Macaca fascicularis: one gene and its partners. The main gene of each other region encodes a partner of the protein of the gene in region 2 in a complex. Links are inferred from orthologs where the notes say so. Each region holds a gene or a part of one and is shown on either strand. Other genes may lie near its edges. The genes, in order: DRC12, FBXL13, DRC10, DRC9 and DRC7.

What was found.
Region 1: FBXL13 (region 2) and DRC12 share a complex: the UniProt entries of both Homo sapiens proteins name them as parts of the nexin-dynein regulatory complex. The link is inferred for Macaca fascicularis from reciprocal best matches to the Homo sapiens genes FBXL13 and DRC12.
Region 3: FBXL13 (region 2) and DRC10 share a complex: the UniProt entries of both Homo sapiens proteins name them as parts of the nexin-dynein regulatory complex. The link is inferred for Macaca fascicularis from reciprocal best matches to the Homo sapiens genes FBXL13 and DRC10.
Region 4: FBXL13 (region 2) and DRC9 share a complex: the UniProt entries of both Homo sapiens proteins name them as parts of the nexin-dynein regulatory complex. The link is inferred for Macaca fascicularis from reciprocal best matches to the Homo sapiens genes FBXL13 and DRC9.
Region 5: FBXL13 (region 2) and DRC7 share a complex: the UniProt entries of both Homo sapiens proteins name them as parts of the nexin-dynein regulatory complex. The link is inferred for Macaca fascicularis from reciprocal best matches to the Homo sapiens genes FBXL13 and DRC7.

What each region holds. Positions count from the first base shown.
Region 1 is NC_088388.1:118,066,428-118,070,662, forward strand, and holds the start of DRC12 (dynein regulatory complex protein 12), read right to left. Parts: upstream 2,811-4,235; 5' UTR 2,768-2,810; intron 2,470-2,767; 5' UTR 2,458-2,469; coding exon 2,397-2,457; intron 1,971-2,396; coding exon 1,896-1,970; intron 827-1,895; coding exon 707-826; intron 1-706. UniProt on the Homo sapiens protein: Component of the nexin-dynein regulatory complex (N-DRC), a key regulator of ciliary/flagellar motility which maintains the alignment and integrity of the distal axoneme and regulates microtubule sliding in motile axonemes.
Region 2 is NC_088377.1:144,707,242-144,711,454, reverse strand, and holds the start of FBXL13 (F-box and leucine-rich repeat protein 13), read left to right. Parts: upstream 1-1,406; 5' UTR 1,407-1,469; coding exon 1,470-1,544; intron 1,545-1,658; exon of another isoform or gene 1,659-1,992; intron 1,993-4,213. Other genes in the region: ARMC10 (armadillo repeat-containing protein 10), read right to left, coding at 834-972. UniProt on the Homo sapiens protein: Substrate-recognition component of the SCF (SKP1-CUL1-F-box protein)-type E3 ubiquitin ligase complex.
Region 3 is NC_088385.1:120,145,333-120,149,385, reverse strand, and holds the start of DRC10 (dynein regulatory complex protein 10), read left to right. Parts: upstream 1-1,242; 5' UTR 1,243-1,284; intron 1,285-4,053. UniProt on the Homo sapiens protein: Component of the nexin-dynein regulatory complex (N-DRC), a key regulator of ciliary/flagellar motility which maintains the alignment and integrity of the distal axoneme and regulates microtubule sliding in motile axonemes.
Region 4 is NC_088376.1:895,447-898,957, forward strand, and holds part of DRC9 (dynein regulatory complex protein 9), read left to right. Parts: intron 1-711; 5' UTR 712-770; coding exon 771-778; intron 779-925; exon of another isoform or gene 926-1,419; intron 1,420-2,035; coding exon 2,036-2,309; intron 2,310-3,511. UniProt on the Homo sapiens protein: Component of the nexin-dynein regulatory complex (N-DRC), a key regulator of ciliary/flagellar motility which maintains the alignment and integrity of the distal axoneme and regulates microtubule sliding in motile axonemes.
Region 5 is NC_088394.1:53,801,431-53,805,430, forward strand, and holds the start of DRC7 (dynein regulatory complex subunit 7), read left to right. Parts: upstream 1-1,189; 5' UTR 1,190-1,283; intron 1,284-2,621; 5' UTR 2,622-2,658; coding exon 2,659-2,861; intron 2,862-3,555; coding exon 3,556-3,730; intron 3,731-4,000. UniProt on the Homo sapiens protein: Component of the nexin-dynein regulatory complex (N-DRC) a key regulator of ciliary/flagellar motility which maintains the alignment and integrity of the distal axoneme and regulates microtubule sliding in motile axonemes.

The DNA of each region.
Region 1 (4,235 bases), on a different chromosome or scaffold from region 2:
TTTTTTTTTTTTTTGAGACGGGGTCTCGCTCTGTCGCCCAGGCTGGAGTGCAGTGGTGCGATCTTGGCTCACTGCAAGCTCCGCCTCCCGGGTTCACCCCCTTCTCCTGCCTCAGTCTCCCGAGTAGCTGGGACTACAGGCACCTGCCACCACACCCGGCTAATTTTTTGCATTTTTAGTAGAGACGGAGTTTCACCATGTTAGCCAGGATGGTCTCGATCTCCTGACCTCGTGATCCGCCCGCCTCGGCCTCCCAAAGTGCTGGGATTACAGGTGTGAGCCACCACTCCCGGCCCATGGTCTTCTTGGTTCTTTTTGTGATTCTGAGAAGCTAGAGACCATGAAAACCTGAGGAAGGGAAAGGAAGCCCAACCCACCTCCCCCACCGTCCAGCTTTGGATGGGGATGCTAGTCCTTCTCCCCTCCCATAGGATGGTTGAGGTGATGGCTATGACTGCATGTGTATCCTACACAGCATCAAGCACATGGCACCAGGCATCCTGGCAGGCCCCTGCCTGGGATCCCAGGAACCTACCTGCCTTTGATTCCTGCAGGATCCTGCCTGATTTGTACTGTTCGGGGAAGACCAAGACCAGGCCTGGCAGTTGGAAGCCCTCCTTGTTTCCCTTCCTTGCATCATCTGACCCTGCTGGTTGTCTTCCTCCAGGCCCCTGTCTCCTGCCCACCTGCTCAACAGACCACACACCTGCATATATGGCCTTCCCTTCACTTCGGGCCCCTTCCAGCTCAGCCTCCACCCTTTGCAGCCTCTGCTTCAGCTGGTCTTCGGAAGCCTTGGCTCGACGGGCTTCATCCCTCCGTACAGCTGTGAGCAGTCCCAGAGCCACTGTCAGGACTGGCTGGGGCCCGCTAAATCAGCCCCCATGAACTTGATGAATTTTGCCCGTCTCTAGAAATCTGGTGGCGGGGCGTCCAGCCTCTTATTCTCTCTCTGGGTTTTGTTGTTTTTGTTTTTTATCCCTAGAGTCTCACAGGCTCCTCATTATTAAGAAGTAAAGACTCTCTCCATGTTCTGCCTATACAAAATAGCTTTCCGGATAGCCCGGCATGGTGGCTCATGCCTGTAATCCCAATATTTTGGGGGGCTTAGGTGGGAGAATTGCTTGAGGCCAGGAGTTTGAGACCTGCCTGGGCAACAGAGTGAGACCTTGTCTCTATAAGAAAAATAAATAGGGCCAGGCGCAGTGGCTCATGCCTGTAATCCCAGCACTTTGGGAGGCCAAGGTGGGAGGATCATGAGGTCAAGAGTTCGAGACCAGCTTGGCCAACATGGTGAAAACCTGTCTCTAATAAGAATACAAAAATTAGCCGGGTGTGGTGGCTGTGTGCCTGTAATCCCAGCTACTTGGGAGGCCGAGGCAGGGGAATCACTTGAGCCTGGGAGGCAGAGGTTGCAGTGAGCCAAGATCGCGCCACTGCACTCCAGCCTGGGCAACAGAGCACAGGACTCTGTCTTAAAAAAAAAGATAGTAAAATAAAATAAAATGAAATAATAAAATAAAATAAATTTTAAAAAAGAAAAATAAATAAATAAATAAATAAAGTAGCTAGGTAGGGTGGTGTGCACCAGCTACTCGTGAAGCTGAGGTGGGAAGATTGTTGGGGTCCAGGAGTTTGAGATTACAGTGAGCTATGATCACACCACTGCAGTCCAGCCTGGGCAATAGAGCAAGATTCTGTCTAAAAAAAAAAAAAGCTTCCTTTATCAACTCTCACTGCCCACCCCTCTCTCATTGTCTTTTTCCACTAGGGGATGGTTAGGGTTCAACTTAGCCCCCCACTGTATCTCCAACTCTCCAATCCCCCAGGATACAGAAATGCCCCATTTCACTTGCCCTGTTGCCCACCCCCATGCCAACTTCTACCCTCCTTACCCAAGTGGTCTCGGAGCAGCTCCTTCTCCAGCACCACCAGCCTGTGCCTGGACTCAGCCTCCACATCTGCACCTGCTGTGGCAAGTGGCAGAGCCTCAGCTCTTCGTGATCTCAGCATTCCTCACTCTCCTTGCGTCCTCGCCCCACACCCTGCACTTTTGCCACAGGAGACCTGAGGACCACTAAATGAGGGATCCATGGTGGCAGAGTCTACTGAAGTCAGCACTGTGTCCTTACCAACCAGCACATAACAGATATGCAAAATACACATGACAAATATATTAGGAAGGCACAAAGCTAGATGGTGCTTAAAGGACAGCGTGAGTGACCATTTCCCCACTTCCTCAGCTCCCTGCATCTGACTTCAAGGACACGAAAGAGGAAGGTCAAGAGAGTTCCATCCTGTCATGTAGAAGGCTGAATTCTCTCTGGAGGAGCTCTGCGTGGTCTTCATGCCAGAACATGGAGAAGCAGGGGGCACCTCCACCCACCATGACTCACCCCAGTTCTTTTTCTTCTGCGCCCCAGATTTCTTCCCTTTTTCTTTGTTTTTAAGTGGCATCTCCTTGCTGTCCTGGGAGAAGGAGGGGACCTTATGTTTAGGTCTGGACACAGGGATGCTTTCCTGACTGAATCAGGAGTCTCAGGGGAGTCTCCTGGTTCTACTCCAAATTTGCATCTCATACTCTTCAGAAAAGTCAGTTCACAGTCTCTTTGGAACCTCAGGCAGGGTTGGGGTCAACGGGGAGGGTGAAGTTTTTTCTCTCAACCAGGCTGACTGTACGGAAGTCACTCCTCACAACTCTCTTTTAGATAAATCCCTGTACCTGCTCCCCTCCCTCTTCCCATCATCCTCAACCCCCTCTTCCTACCTGTAGGATCCTCTCCTGCCAGTGTTGGGGCTCCCTGTGGAGTGACCCACCCGTGGGGAGTGGCAGAGAGAAGGCCCAACTAGCGAGGAGCCTGAGGCGGGGCCTGGGTCCTGGGAGCCAATCCTTGGTGGCAAATTTCTCTTGAGGGCAGGACTGAGGGCTGGAAGGTTGGGTTTCGGGAGGCTGTATGTTGTCCAGGCAACTGGGAAACATGGAGTTGGTAGGAAGGTGGAATGGGCTAAATCAGCTCACAAAGCTTAAAATATCAAGGTCTCAAAGGGTCAGTTCTTTCCTTATCCCAAAACCCTAAGTATAGTTTGAAAAGAAAGGGCTTTGGAGGCCGATTGGTTATGATTCATTGCCACGTAGACATGGCCTGCAATTTGGAGACTTCCAAATTCAGATGTACACATCTGAGATAATATGTTGTGCTGATACAGAGGAAAAGGACTGACAGTAGCCATGTTGGACAATTGACATCCCGAGGTCCCATCAGCAAAATGACATTAGTAGGTTTAAAACTGAAGATCTAAGCTGGGGGCGGTGGCTCATGCCTATAATCCCAACATTTTCAGAAGCTGAGGCAGGAGGATTACTTGAGGCCAGGAGTTCAAGACCAGCCTGGACAACACAGTGAGACCTCATTTCTACAAAAAATTAAAAAATTAGCCTGGCAGGGTGGTGCACACCTGTTAGTCTCAGCTACTCGGGAGGCTGAAGCAGGAGAACCACTTGAGCCTGGGAGGTTGAGGCAGCAGTGAGCTATGATTGCACCACTGCACTCCAGCCTGGATGACAGAGGGAGACCCTGTCTCAAACAAACAAACAAACAAACAAACAAAAACCCCAAACCACTGAAGATCCTCTTCAGTACACTGTGGAATGAGGGTAATAAGTACAGGAATAGGTAGTCGAGGGCGTTTCCCACTTCAGAGAAATGAGACACAAAGGAACAGCAGACCCATGGACTCTAGGGTACTGACCTAGAGGGATGCAAGTGTGCAGGAAAGTGCTCAGGTTAGAGACAAGACATTTGAGTTTGAGTCCCAACTGTGGATATGTAAACTGAGGCAAGCCATTTGACTTTGCTCAGCATCAGTTTCCTGATCTTTAAATGTTTGATTTTGTAGCTCTTGAAAAGCCTGTGTTTTAGCTAGGTGTTTACATGGCTATCTTCTCTCCTAGTTACTTAATCTATTGCTACATTTCCCCATTCCCTTGTGTGGTTGATTTTCAGACAGGTGTTGAGACATTGCTTTGTGAGGCTCCCTGCAGCATAGAGTTGGTTGGGGCTCCCTCTAGTGGACTTGTTTGACCTTCTCCTGAGTTTCCCACATTTTTGCTTTTAAATTATTTACTGGGCAATACTGGGGGTGACTCCCTTTGGGGATACTTCTTAGTGTCCTGCTGGAGCCAGGAGTGGCTGGAATAATTAATGTGGGGGAGAGAGTATGACAGGTGGCCCTCC
Region 2 (4,213 bases):
TTTTATCTTGAGAACACGTACGTAATACGAAATCGGTTCTATCTGTCCAGCTACACTTAAAGGAATTAGAATTCTTCTTGCTATCCCATTAGCAAATTGCCCGTGATGCTTGAGACAATCTAGTTTGTGCTTACTCAACAATGACGCTGTTTAGTTCTCTTCTACAATTGTGGACAGGAGTTTCTTGGATGGCAGATATGTTATTTTAAATTATTTCCCTAACGGCTTCCATGATGTGAAACATGCCTCTGGAGGGTTTTACCGTACCGATCAACTTTTGGACAGAAACCGAATCTGGCATTTGTCCGCTGGGAGGGTGTGTCTCGCGCAGACAACTGTTCCCATTTCCAAAACACACACCAGGCTGGGAGGTCTTGGACCACTGTGACTCCCAGGTACCTCCCCTCTGAGGCCGGGCCGAGCGCCCGCACAACTGCCCCTTTGACGTCCCTTCTTCCAGGACACTTGCAAGCAGAGCTTCACTTATGGCTCCGGGCCCCTCAACAGCCCTTCCACAATCGGCAGAATCCCTTTAATTACACAAAGGCCCGGAACAAGCTTTAAAGTGAGAGGCCATCAACAGGCTTTTAAGAAACCTAATCCTCCACTGTGGCGCAAAGCTCAGGCAGGAAAGCCAGGACAAGTTTTCATATCAGGATAGTGAACAAAGAATGGGCGGCGGGGGCGGCGCAGCACCATGCACCCACACAAGTACTGCCTCTCCCTCTAGCTCGGCTCCTCATCTTACCCCGAGGACACGCAAGCCACCACCCAAGCCCGGGAAGCCCCCCTGCCCAGTCCCCGCCCACCTGCCGGGCACCCCGCGGTCTCACCTGCAGACTTGGAAGGGCGCATCCCGAGCTCGCGGTCGCCCCGCCGCCGACCCCGGGTCAGTCTGTAAATGCAGTAGCAGGCGCCGGCGCCGAGGAGCAGGCCCGCCGCCACCCAGCCCGCGCCCCGGGGGCCACCCATTCTGCAGCCGCGGCAGAGCCGCCGCGCTGGGCCAGGGCAGGAGGCTCCTGGGGGCCAGCGCGGAGGTCTCCAGATCACGCGGGCCTAGCCGCCACAACAAACCGCGCGCGACCTGGATGTGGAGAAAGGAAATGGGGTCTGAGCTCCGCCTCCCGGAAACGGCTCAGCTCAAAGCCTATAACCGCCCACTCCAGCCCGGCGCCTCCGGGCGGCTTCTCCCAGGCGAGGCGGGGCGGGGCGCTGGACGCCAGGAGGGGAGGCTAGGACGGTGCGCCCCACGCGGAGACGCCGGGGCCCTGAACCCGGAGCCGAGCTTCCCGTCGCTTCTCCTGTGGCATGAAGCAAGCCTCCCTCCCTCCTGCCCCGGGCAGCGGAGCGAGGGGCGGTGCCGCGTCCAGCCCCGCCCCCTGGTTGCCAGGACAACGCCCGCACGCACCCGGCTCCTAGTCCCAGCGCGGGGAGGGTACCAGCGCAGCTTCTCCGTCAGGCCTTGGGCCATGGCCTCCCTACGCAATGCCAACCCGAGGCTGAAGAACTACTTCAAGGAGAACTATATTCCTCAGGTCTGCGAGGTACTGGACACGCGTGGCGGCGGACACGGACCGACGGTGGGGAATTAGAAGGGGGAGGAGTCAGGGAAGACGTCTCGGAGGAGGGACTAGGTTTAGGAGTTGAGGGAGGAGGGAGAAGGCGGGGCGGAATGCGAGAAAGTGAAGTCAAACTCGGACTTGTAGGCGATCTGGGCTGAAGATGCTGATCAGAGAGAAGACAGAGGGTGATGGTAGCTGCAAGTGGGGAATGGGTCACATCTCCCAGGGGAAATGAGCACAAGGCCCAGATCGGAAACCCCAAACTCAGCTTTTAAGGTTTGAACAAGAAGTGCCTGAGGAGTGGAGGAGTGAGAAAGAAATGCCAGAGAGGCTGAGGAGGAAAATCAGCAGACTGTCATTATGAAGAGTGTTGTCAGAAGTAGGGAGTAGGCTCTAGTCACCTAAGATAAGGACCTGGATTCTGCCCAAGGTGAGCCTGAGGTTTCCATGGAGCCGTGAGTGCAGAAAATAGATGGAGGTTAGCTGAGGGGAGAGTGGAAGCTGATACCTTTGGTCAGTGTAGTCAGCCCTTTGTGAAGGTAAGGACCCTCTCAACCGGGATTGCCTTTAGACAACAGGAAGGGCTACCCTTCCACCCCCATTGTAATAGGAGGGAAGGAAGACAGGAAGGGATAGATACTAGGTTTTGTAGGTTTTTGGGGGTTGGAAGCTGAGAACGTTTGCCTTTGTTGACCTCTTTTTTTCTCTACAAATAGTTGATGAGATATTTTCCAAGAATGTGCGTGTTTGAGTGGGGATGGGGCTGTTGGTGCAGTAGGAGGTTCGAGCAAAGATACGCTATGCGGGGAATGAGGAAGAGAGATGTCTAGGGAAGGAAAAAGGAGGTCCCAGCTGAGGGTAGTAACGATCCTAGGCGGTTGGGAGGGCAATTTGGTAGAGACCCCCGTCTCCTTTTTGGATGGCAATTGAGAAATATTTATTAAAATGTTAAATACATGTACCCTTTAACCAAGCATTTCCACTTCTAGGGATCTACTTTAGAGAAATACTTGCACATGTGTTCAGAAGGATGTACAAGGATGTTCATTATAACTTTGTTTCATAGTAGAAGTAGTAAATGACCTAGAGTGACTAAGCGAATGAGGTATTATGTAGAATAAAGTATATCTGTACCTACTAAGAAGAAATGCCCTCCAAGACATATTATTATTATCGAGACACGGGGTGTTGGTCTGCCACCCAGGCTAGAGTGTAGTGGCTCCATCCTAGCTCGCTGCAGCCTCAAACTCCTGGGCTCAAGCCATCCTCCCACCTCAGCCTCCCAAGTAGCTAGGACTACAGGCATACACCATATGGCTGGCTCCCAACACATATTATTAAGTAAAAAAGAAAAAGTGCAAGTTGCTTAGCAACTGTCCATTCTGCTCTAGCTATCTGATTTCATGTATGTTGTATATGTGTTTATGTGTACATATATGTGTGTGTATCTATCTTTAAGACAATAGTGCATGCATAGAACCTATGCCAAATTGTTAATAACAGATGTCTTGTGGAATGGTTTTGGGGGAGGAAACGGGGAATTCTAACTTTTTGCTCTACCCATAGCTGTATTGTTTTAATTTATTATAGTGAGTTTCATGTTGTACCTCTATACAATTGTGCTTGAAAATATGTAGGGAGAATGGTACCCATCTTCCCGGTTGTGTGATTTTTGTCAAGTAGCAGTCAGTAAACCAGATGTAGGTACAGAGATAACCAAGTTGACTTCGTCTGGGATAGGAATTTGCCAGGCATATGTTAATAGAATAGAAAGGCAGTAGGTTAGGGAGCTAAGCTCCTGAGTATCTGAAGTGATGGGCCAAGGACTCTAAGGACTCAGTGGGAAATGAGAAAAGGATATGATACTGATATATGTACAGAAAATGGAGACTCCTAAGAGGTGAGTGAAGAGAAGTAGAGGGAGTAATTAAATGAGGGAGCTGGAAACATAGGAGGTGGGGGTCAGAAAGTGGAATGTTTATATTTACAATTCAGGGTGCGGCCATTCTGAGTGGTGATTCAGTCTGTGATATGGCGGTGCAGCAGGTGGAAGAAACAGACTTGAGTTGAGGGTACATCAAGGAAATGGTGGCCTCTTCTCATCTAGCCTGCCAGTTACTATAACATCACAAAGCTGCAATGAGGCAGTCCCCAGTTCCCCCTCTGGGTGAGAGCGCTCCTGGCTTGCCACATTGTTCTGCACCCAGAGAGGAGGCCCTTATATGCATTCCCCATTGTCTAAGATCATATTCTCCTGAGAAGTCCTTCACTCACCTCTGCTACCACACTAGCAGCAAGAACAAGGGAGCAGTCTTCTGGGCCCCACACACCCACCTTAAACTCATTACCTATTTCTCCTAAGAGACTATCAAGATGAATTCCATTCTGCCTCATATCTATTCTGTCTGTACATTTATTCATCTGACTCAATTTCCCAGATGGGTTTTATACTTTTTTTTTTTTTTCTTTTTTGAGATGGAGTCTTGCTCTGTCGTCCAGGCTAGAGTGCAGTGGCGCCATCTCGGCTCACTGCAACATCCACCTCCTGGGTTCAAGCGATTCTCCTGCTTCAGCCTTCCAAGTAGCTGGGACTACAGGCACCTGTCATCATGCTCAGCTAATTTTTGTGTTTTTGGTCGAGATAGGGTTTC
Region 3 (4,053 bases), on a different chromosome or scaffold from region 2:
GTCTGAATCAGGGAACCTTCCTGCTTAACCATGACCCTATATACACCTACGACTAGAACCAGTACCCTGATTTGAATTCAAACACGTCATTTGTCCAGCGAGACAAAAATGAGGTCCAGAGAGGGGAAGAGACTTGCCCAAGGTCACACAGTGCAGGAGCGGGGCTAGAACCCGGGACTCCTGAGTCCTGGTCCAGTGTTCCCTCCGCGGGCTTTGCTTCTGCCTCTACAGAGGACCCAAATGGCCAGCCCTGGGGAAAGGGCCTAGGGGAAGAGGGCCAGCTGCCATGCCGCTGTCCGCTCGGGCAGCCTGACCCGGGCACGAGACTCCTGCGGGGTCACCTGAGGGCGCCAGGGAGAAGAGCGAGGGAGGGAGCAAGAAGGAGGCAGGAGCGCTGGCTCCAGCTCCGCGTGCTCCCAGCCCCTGGCTGGGCGCCCACGTGAGGGTCGCCCCAAGAAGTCGGGGGCAAGGAGAGAGGGTGCAAAGCCCCGGCCCGGGCTGGACGGAGAGAAGCGCGGCGGAGACTTCCCCGCGCCCTCTCTGGGCCCATTCAGCCCACCTCCCACACCAGAGTGTCGCGCCGCAACCCCTTACTCCGCGCCCTCTGACCCTGATCCCTGCCCTCTCCCTCTGGCCAAGTCCTCGCATCCCTCGGATTCTTACACGCGCCGCCCCAGCAACCCGGACCGCGCGCCGGGGTCCGTACCACGCAGCCCAGCCCGCCGGCGCCGCCGCCAAAACCCCGAGCCCGAAGCTGTTGCAGCCGCCGCAGCCGCCGCCACTTCAGCCACCGCCACCAGGGTAGCTGCGCCAGCTCTCCCATCCGCCGCCTACCGTCCTCTCAACCCCGCTCGCCCCGCCCCATTTCCCCTTCACAGCGTCCTACTGGCTAACTGGGCTACCATGATGAGCTCTGATTGGTCAATTCTCACGTCTTTCCGCAGGTCTCGCCCGCAGCCGAGGCAGTACTCCCTGCCCGCCTCCTTAAGAAGGGGCGGGACGAAGAATCCACGCCCCTTTCTCCTCCCATCTTCCCCGCCTTAATCGTTGAGTCCAACCCAGAGGGAGTCCCAAGTCTTTCCATTGGTGCAAGGTCAAAATGGCGGTGCTTCTGATTGGTCAGACTTCAGGAGGTGGGGACAATTGAGCGGAACAAGAAATTGAATGGTGAAAAGAAAGGTCAGTCAGACACAGAGTCCCGCCTTCTGAGATTGGCGGGTAACCTCGCAACGCTGGGACCGCGGCGGTAACTGTGGCTAGGGAAACCTGGAGCCGTCAGAGCGGGTGAGTAACCAGGTGGGAAAGGGTCGCGGATCGGGGGAGATGTGGAATGGGGTTCAGCCCGATGTCCTTTGGCTCCCTGAGAAATTGGTAGCCCCCGCTGCGATCCCGTCTCAGCTTCAGGACCCCGTCCCTCAGCCCCTGCCTCAGTCTGGACCTCTCGCTCCACAGCCTGCAGGGAGCCGGCCTCCATTCTTCCCCTTCTACCTGCCCACTTCATGGCCCCACTCCCTCATCCCTAAAACGACAAGGACACCAGTCAAGCAGAGTCACATCGTAGTTAACTTATTTCAAGTCAAACATGGGAGCTGTGGGTGGGAGGGGGGTTTATAAGTCCCCTCCCATTCCACCCAACGACCATACGTTCCTCGGTGAGCGGGCCATCTCACTTAAGTGTTTAAATTAGGTAGTTTTTGTTTGTTTTTGTTGTTGTTGTTGTTGTTGTTGTTTTTGCCTAGCGCGGTGACTCACGCCTGTAATCCCAGTACTTTGGGAGGCCAAGGCGGGCAGATCACTAAAGGTCAGGAGTTCTAGACCAGCCTGGCCAATATAGTGAAACCTCATCTCTACTGAAAATACAAAAATTAGCTGGGCATGGTGGTGCACCTGTAATCCCAGCTACTCGGGAGGCTAAGGCACGAGAATCACTTGAACCCGGGAGACCGAGGTTGCAGTAAACCAAGATCGCGCCATTGCACTCCATCCTCCGCAACAGAGCAGGACTCTGTCCCAAATAAATAAATAAATTAGGTAATTTTTATTATACCACTTTTGCCTTTGTCCTAACTTTGGAATTTATTTCCCATCTCCGTCCTTAAAATGTAATCTCTTTGTACCTACTAAAGATAGAGAGTTTCTTGTGATGATTAAATGAGGCTGAGGGGTGGGCACAGTGGCTCAATCTGCAATCCCAACAATTTGGGAGGCCGAGCGGCGGATCACCTGAGGCCAGGAGTTTGAGACCAGCCTGGCCAACATGGTGAAGCCCTGTCTCTACTAAAAATACAAAAATTAGCTGGGCATGGTGGTGCATGCCTGTGATCCCATCTACTCGGGAGGCTGAGGCAGGAGAATTTCTTGAACCCGGGTGGTGGAGGTTGCAGTGAGCCGAGATGGTGCCACTGCACTCCCGCGGGGGTGATAGAGCGAGGCTCCATCTCAATAAATAAATAAATAAATAAATAAATAAATAAATAAGGCTGAGGTGGAAGAATCGCTTGAACCCAAGAGGCGGAGGTTGTAGTGAGCCATGATTGCACTGCTGCACTCCAGCCTGGGCCACAGAGTGAAAAACCCTGTCTCAAAAAAATATATAAAAAAGAAAAACTTTGAGGTTCAAAAGATATTTTCGTAAGAAAATGAAAAGATCAGCCACAGACACAGACATGGAGGAAATATTTGCAAATCTCATGTGTCTTATAATAGACTTGTATGTAGAAAATAAAAATAACTCTTATAACTCAAGAGGACAACTCCATTTTTTTAATGGGCAAAAGAGTTAAGTAGACATTTAAAAATCAAAAAGACAATCCCAAATATCATCATGTAGATAAACAAACTAGCTTTCATATATTGCTGGTAGGTACAGCAGAATACCAATTGGTACCACCAATCTGAAATATAGTTGGCAGTTTCTTAAAAAGTTAAACATAGGCCAGGCACAGTGGCTCATGCCTGTAATCCCAGCACTGTGGGAGGCACAGGCAGGTGGATCACCTGAGGTCAGGAGTTCGAGACCAGCCTGGCCAACATAGCAAAACCCCGTCTCTACTAAAAATACAAAAATTAGCAGGGCATGCTGGCGGGCCCCTGTATTCCCAGCTACTTGGGAGGCTGAGGCAGGAGAATCACTTGAACCTAGGAGGCGGAGGTTGCAGTGAGCCGAGATCATGCCACTGCATTCCAGCCTGGGCAATAGAGTGAGACTCTGTCTCAAAAAAAAAAAAAAAAGCAAATGAGTATTTCATTATTTTGATCTGAGCTTTACGATTTTTCTTTTCTTTTTTTTTTGAGATGGAGTTTTGTGTTGTTGCCCAGGTTGGAGTGCAGTGGCACGAGAATTGCTTGAATCTGGAAGGTGGAGGTTGCAGTGAGCTGAGATCACGCCACTGTACTCCAGCCTGGGCAACAGAGCGAGACTCAGTCTCAAAAACAAAACAACTACAACAAAAAAATGTGAGTGGAAACAGAGATCGTTTGCAGATTAGCTCATGGGAATTTGGTGGAGTGATAGAAATGTTCTAAAACAGGATTGTATCTAAAACTGATGTGGCAACTTTAGATACATTTACAAAAATAGTCATTGAGTTTTATACTTACAATGGGTGAATTTTATGGTAATGTAAATTACACCTCAATAGAGCTGTAAAAAAAAAAATTACACGCGTGGTTAGTACCATGCAGGAAAGGTGAGAGAATTTCCACAGGTTGTAAAGTGCTGTGTGTTCCTGTCTGAGAAGGGGTAGCCATTGAGCTAAGACCTAAAGAATGAGAAATTGTTAATCCAGGGAGAAATTGTTCATGGGGGGTTGGTTTCTGACATAAAGTAACATTATACATTAGTGCCTGAGAGCAGGAGGGGTTTGAGATAGGCTGTTTTTTGTTTGTTTTGTTTTTGAGACAGAGCCCCTCTCTGTTGCCCAGGCTGGAATGCAGTGGTGCAATCTCAGCTCACTGCAACCTACGCCTCTTGGGTCCAAGCAATTCTCCTGCCTCAGCCTACCAGGTAGCTGGGATTACAGGTGCCCGCCATCATGTGCTGCTAATTTTTGT
Region 4 (3,511 bases), on a different chromosome or scaffold from region 2:
CAGTGGTGCAATCTCGGCTCACTGCAAGCTCCACCTCCCGGGTTCACGCCATTCTCCTGCTTCAGCCTCCCGAGTAGCTGGGACTACAGGCGCCCGCCACCATGCCTGGCTAATTTTTTGCATTTTTTAGTAGAGACGGGGTTTCACCATGTTGGCCAGGATGGTCTCGATCTCCTGACCTTGTGATCCACCCGCCTCGGCCTCCCAAAGTGCTGGGATTCCAGGCGTGAGCCACCGCACCCGGCCCCAATTAATACAGTTTTTCTAAATGTCATCTCAATTATTCCTCTAAGCACACGTGGAGCAAATTCCGTTATCTGGCGGATAAGATGGATTGAGTGATCTAATTAAATGTTAGAGTAATTAGAATCATAGAAAAAATCAAGTATATAGAGATTACCAATTAAAATTGTGATACCATGGAACACTCTAAAACCAGGTTGAACATTAATTTACCTTAAGAAGAGGCCCACAGAGTGCATGTGTCTTGAGTTTGGTAGAGCAGTAAGAATTCGGTCAACTTCTTCATAGACCTGCGGTCCGTGATGTCGATGTTTCTTTCGCCTCTGAGACTGCTCCACTCTGCACAAAGAGGTGACAGTCACAGCTCCCGTAATCATTTAATTTTCTCTGAATAAAATGATATTGAAATAACTGAAACATCATTGAAGACTTGCATAAACTAATCTCAGTGTTTCCTTCCCATTTTAGGTAGCCGCACTTCTGTGAGATTATAAATATTCCACGGAGGGTAACGGAACTACGGGAGAATGGAAGAGTATGTTTACAATTCCTATGTTTTTTGTATACATGTATTTAAATTATGCCTTCTGTGAAAGGTCTGTGTATACCTTATCTACTGCTGTGTGACAGATCACCCCAGAACTTAGTGACTTAAAATACAAACATTTATTCTTTCCCACAGTTTCTGCAGGTCCCAAGGTTAGGAGCAGGTTAGCTGGATGGTGCTGGCTTGGGGTCTCTCCTGCACGTGAAGTTGGCCACGGGTGGCAATGATGGCAATGATCTGAAGACCTGATGGGGGCTGGAGTATCCACTGCCAAGGTGGTTCATTGACAGAGCTGGCAAGTTGGTGCAGGCTGCCGGCAAGAGGCCTTTGTTCCTTTCCCTCATGGGTGTGTCCACAGTGCTGCTGAAATGTCCTCATGTCGAAGCAGCTGTCATCCCTCACACTGAGAGGTTTGAGAGAGGAAGGCAGAAGCTGCGATGTCTTTTATCACTTAGCCGTGGAAGTCCCACTCCGTCATTGCCACAATAACCTTCCGGTTACATAGGCTGGTCCTACTCAGTGTGGCGTAGACTACACAGAAGCATTAATACTAGAAAGTGAGAATCATTTGGGCCACCTTGGAGGCTGGATACCACATTCTGTTTTTCACTCATCAGGAGACACTTTTGGTTAGCATCTAAAGATACTCCTAGGGAAAAAAAGTTAATTTTGGCTCAAATTCAAATTGATCAGCATAGCCAAATTGCATGAGCTACATAGCTTTATTAAACAGTAGGTCAGGTGTGGTGGCTCACACCTGTAATCCCAGCACTTTGGGAGGCTGAGCTGGGTGGATCACCTGAGGTTGGGACTTCAAGACCAACCTGACCAACATGGAGAAAGCCCGTCTCTACTAAAAACACAAAGTTAGCCGGGTGTGGTGGCGGGCGCCTGTAGTCCCAGCTACTCAGGAGGCTGAGGCAGAAGAATCGCTTGAACCTGGGAGGCAGAGCTTGCGGTGAGCTGAGATCACGCCATTGCACTCCAGCCTGGGCAACAAGAGCGAAACTCCGTCTCAAAAAAAGGAAAAAAAAAAAAAGTAAGTTGTTTGCCTTTGGTTGGTCAAAATGGAAGATATTTAGCAGAATCACACTCAAACTCCTACTTTTTTTTTTTTTAATCTAGGTTATATTATATGACAACAAGAATATCACAGGAGCCCAGCACATTGCTGCCTGTACTTTTGAGTTAAAGTAATGTTTAAATATTGGTCGCTGACTTATTTTTTCTTTATTCTTTCCTTAGAGACAGCCTGGAAGACTCAAACCTTCCTCCAAAAGTTTGGCATTCTGAGATGACAGTGTCAGTGACAGGCAAACCACCTAGTACCGTAGAAGAAGACGGACTACCTAAAGAAACAGACGTAGAAACCATCCCAGAAATCCTAGAAACCCGAGAGCCACTCTCGCTTCCAGATGTGCTGAGGATCTCGGCAGTTCTGGAGGACACCACAGACCAGCTCTCTATTCTAAACTACATCATGCCCATTCAGTACGAAGGAAGACAGAGCGTCTGCATGGTATTTACCCGCTCACGATGAGACTATGAGTTACTTTTGCTTTATTTTTTATTTCTCCCTCATTTATAGTACCTATCTCATTAAATGTATTGATTTATCTTTCTCTCTCTCTTTCCTTCTTCTTTTTTTTTTTTTTTTTTTTCTGACAGGGTCTCGCTCTGTGGCCTAGCCTGGAGTGTAGGGGTGCTGTCACGGCTGACTGCGACCTTTACCTCCCAGGCTCAAGTGATCCTCCCACCTCAGTCTCCTGGGTAGCTGGGACTACAGGTCTGCACTACCACACCTGGCTAATTTTTTATAAAAGTTCTGTAGAGATGGGATCTCACTGTGTTGTCCAGGCTGGTGCCATTAAATATCACTTGGGAAATAGCACCTTTATTTCAGATAAAGGGCTACACTACCTATCTGAGATATGTACTCTCAATTGATGGAGTGAAATGGTCATGACTGAAGGTACATTACCGGACAGAATATCCTTTTCCACTATGTTGGCATTATCCAAAAAGGCCTGTACGGAAATCAGTATAAGTACAATACCGAAGAGAGGGAATGACTAAGCCGTCCGCGCAGCTTGTGTTTCTCAGCTGCTGAACCCTAACTGAACACTAGGGGGAGGAAGTTCAGCTCCGGCCTTCACTTCGCTTTAATCTAAAATGACTTGTCATTGGTGAATACGTTGTAACTTGCCTTCCTGAATATCCAGCCGCATTACTGTGTCAGCCATTACATTTTCTTTTTTTTTTTTTTTTTTTTTTTTTGAGACGGAGTCTCGCTCTATGGCCCAGGCTGGAGTGCAGTGGCCGGATCTCAGCTCACTGCAAGCTCCGCCTCCCGGGTTCACGCCATTCTCCGGCCTCAGCCTCCCGAGTAGCTGGGACCACAGGCGCCGCCACCTCGCCCGGCTAGTTTTTTGTATTTTTTAGTAGAGACGGGGTTTCACCGTGTTAGCCAGGATGGTCTCGATCTCCTGACCTCGTGATCCGCCCGTCTCGGCCTCCCAAAGTGCTGGGACCACAGGCGCCGCCACCGCGCCCGGCTAGTGTTTTGTATTTTTAGCAGAGACGGGGTTTCACCTGGTTAGCCAAGCCCTTACATTTTCAATCGTGTTTTGGACTGCTCTGTGAAGCAGCACTGAGTTATTAGAAAATTAATTTAGTAGTGAGCAAAGTCTTTATACATGTTTAGCTCTTGTACATTTCAAT
Region 5 (4,000 bases), on a different chromosome or scaffold from region 2:
ATGCACAGGTTTCACAACCAGAAATACTTGGGCTCAAATCCCAGACCTGCTACTTACTAGCTGTGACCTTAAGCAGTGCACTCAACCTCTCTGGGCCCCAGTCTTCTCATCTGCAAAGCGGGTGTCCTAAGTGTCTGCCTCACAGAGTCAGTAGAGGATAAGTGAGATGATCTCCGTACAACCCTAAGCACAGGGCCTGGCACACAGTAGGCGTTCAGCAAACTGTAAGTGCCTTGTAATGGTGATGACTGCCCTCCCTGTGCTTATTCTCTCTGGGACCAAGAGGCCGATAAATGGATCTGATGACTGGGAAGTGCTGCTTGGCTAGAGGTTCTCCCCTGAGGATCTGGGGTCCTGAATGCTGTTGGCCCACCTGGGCTTGGGTGGGCTCCAGCCAGATGAGCATTCATCCCCTCCTGAGTCCCAGAACACAGAATGTCAGAATTGGACAGAAAATATCTGCCCTCCCTTCCTATTGTAAAGAGAAACTGAGGCACAGAAAGGCGCAGACAGTGACCCAAGGGTCCAGCAGGAGCTATTGGCAAAGCCAGGGTTTCCCCAACCGGGCTCAGTCCTGGCTGGTGGCCAGTGACTCACCTCCCTAAGAGGCCGAGGCGGCCCGCGTGGGTGTGGCGTGGGGAATGGGGCCAGCCTTTATCTGCTGCTCCCTTCTGCCCTCTTGTTCCTGGCTTCACCCAGGGAAGTGGGGGATGATTACAAAGTCGAGGGGATTCTGCTTTTTTCTCCTCACTACTCGCGCCCTTTGTCCTGTGGGTTTCCTTTGTTTTCCTCCTCTCTGGACCCCTGTTTACTATAAGGAAAACAGATGTTGGAGGAGAGAAATAGAAAGACCCCAGCTGGGAGGCTGGATCAGCTGGGGTGGCGTTGGGCGGTGTGGATCAGGGACCCCCATAGAGGCTGACATTTCTTATATAAGGAAAGGCTGGAGGTGGCACTCCAGTCCTCTGTGGCACCACAGGTCCCCGGTCTCTTGGCCCTGCCATCCTTAGCAGGCTACTTTAGCCCTCATGTGTGGTCACCTCATGGTCTCACCTGGGCTGCCCCACCTCCCACTTTATCTCCACATTCCAGGTGGGAGGAGGAGAAGGGCAGAGGGTGCCCCGATAACTTCTGCCCACATCTCATTGGCCAGAACCAGGTCACATCACAGGGCCACCTCTAGCTACAAGAGGATCTGGGAAGCTGAGCAATTCAAACCAGGCACACTGCTGACCCCACACAACTGGGGTTCTGCCGTATAGAAGAGGAGACTGGATCTTTGGGTAGGTGACTAGCAGTACCCGCTCAGTGAGGCTCTGCTCTGTGGTCGCAGGACATATGGTGAACACATGTGGCGTCTCTGCGTGGATCACAGAATGAAGCCTGTTCTCTGGGCCGACACAGGCCTTGGCCAAGAGAGAGCAGGCTCTGTTACCCCACCCCCCACTTCCTGTTTGTGTGCCCTGGTGCACGCACCTTCACTCTCTGTGCCTTGGTTCCCAATTTGGTCAGGTGAGATATCATTCACCTGCTGTCTTCATTTTTGGGTGGGTTGTAGTCCATATTACCTTACTGTTAGGATTTTCTTTAAACCAATTTATTTATTCATGTATTTATTTATTTATTATTTATCTGAGATGGAGTCTCACTCTGTTGCCCAGGCTAGAGTGCAGTGGTGTGATCTCGACTTATTGCAACCTCCGCCTCCCAGGTTCAAGTGATTCTGCTGCCTCAGACTCCTGAATAGCTGGGATTACAGGCGTGCACCACCATGCCTGGCTAATTTTTTGTATTTTTAGTAGAGACGGGGTTTCGCCATATTGGCCAGGCTGGTCTCGAACTCCTGACCTCAAGTGATCCACCTGCCTCAGCCTCCCAAAGTGCTGGGACTACAGGCATGAGCCACCGCACACAGCCAATTCATTTATTTAAATAGGAAACGTGACAATACTATAGTAGTCCCCACAGCATTAGCAGTACTTGTCATTGATAACTGTCAGCTGGCACAATGGCTCATGCCGGTAATCCCAGCACTTTGGGAGGCCAAAGCAGGAAGATCACTTGAGGCCAGGAGTTTAAGCTTGGGCAACATAGCCAGACCCTGTCTCTACCAAAAAAAAAAAAAATAGCCAGGTGTGGTGGTGCGTGCCTGTGGTCTCAGCTACTGGGGAGGCTGAGGTGGGAGGATTGCTTGAGCCTGGGGGTTTGATGCTGCAGTGAGCCATGTTTGCGCTACTGCACTCCAAGCCTGGGTGACAGAGTGAGACCTTGTCTCAAAAACATAAAAAATTTAAAAAAGGATAACTGTCAAATATACTTAAAGCAAATTGACATGTGTCCTGCCCTGTCCTGTCCTGATGATGGCTTCCAGCCGGAGGCCTGCTTTGTCTTTGTTGTAAAGGAATATTTGCCAGGATTAGAAAGGTGTTACAGATGGGGTAGCATCAAACAGAGATCTTCTCCATGTTTGAAAGGAAGTCAAAGAGGGAATCACTGCCTTCCTATGTGCTCTACACCTCCCCAAAACCATCTCCCAGGCCTCCCAGGGATGCCCCAGTGGTGTTGGTGGCTCCTGCCTGGTCTGACAGTCAGCCATGGCGTATACTTCCCCTTCCCCACAGAGACATTCTGTCTCCAGACAGCCAGAGACGCTCCAGAATGGAGGTCCTGAGGGAGAAGGTGGAGGAGGAGGAGGAGGCAGAGCGGGAGGAGGCGGCCAAGCGGGCTGAATGGGCGAGGACCGAGAAAATGATGAGGCCAGTTGAGGTGCGGAAGGAGGAAACCACCTTGACACAGGAGATGCTCAGAGACCTGGAGAAGAAGCTGTCGGAGATCCAGATCCCCATCTCAGCGGAGCTCCCGTGAGTGTGGCAGTGTGGGGGCTCTGGGCAAGGGCAGACCGGGGCTGGGCACAGGGAGACCCAGGCAGAGTGGTGGCGACTGGTCTGGCAGGGTGACCAGTTAAGAGTGAAGGCTTTCTGCTTTCAAATGGCCTGGGCCGAGTGTCCACGCTCCCCCGACTAGCTGTGTGACCTTGGGCAAGTCACTCAGCCTCTCGGTGCCTCAGTGCCTTTATCTGTCTAAAAGTGCAGGTGCTGGCCGGGCGCTGTGGCTCACATCTGTAGTCCCAGCACTTTAGAAGGAAGAGGTGGGAGGATCGCTTGAGACCAGGAGTTCGAGACGAGCCCGGGCAACATAGCGAGACCCCCATCTATCTCGACAAAAAATACAAAAATTAGCCAGGTGTGGTGGTGCCTCTAGTCCCAGCTACTTGGGAGGCTGAGGTGGGAGGGTCACTTAAGCCCAGGAGTTCAAGGCTGCAGTGAGCTATGACTGTGCTACCGCACTCCAGCCTGGGCAACAGAGCAAGACCTGTCTCTTAAATATAAATAAATAAATAAATAATAAATAAATAAGCAGATGTTAATGATACCTGCTTTCTCAGTAGCTGTGAGGATTAAATGAGGAAGGGATAGAGCCAATGGCAACTCAGTGGAACCAGGGCTCCTGAGTACCAGGCATGGCTTCCCTAATGCCGTCCCTCTTGTGGCACAGGGCCTTTACCAAGGACACTATTGACATCTCCAAGCTGCCTGTTTCCTACAAAACCAACACACCCAAGGAGGAGCACCTGCTGCAGGTGGCAGACAACTTTTCCCGCCAGTACAGCCATCTGTGCCCGGATCGCGTGCCCCTCTTCCTGCACCCCCTGAACGAGTGCGAAGTGCCTGTAAGGCTGGCATGTTGAGGGCAGGGCCAGGGAGCCTGGGGCTGGAGAGCAGAGGGCACAGGGAAGTGGGGTGGGTTCTCCAAGGGCAATGGGCCAAATCACAGACCTCCTGTGGACTGGAGTGCTTCTAGTCTGGGGGAAACATAAACTCCAATGCCAGCAGGCCTCAGCAGGCTCAGTGCAGAGTACCCTGGAGGGTGGTGGTGGCCTGGAGACCCCATGCCTCGCCTAAAGAGGCAGCTGCTGATTGCTGCAGGGAAACAACAGGTG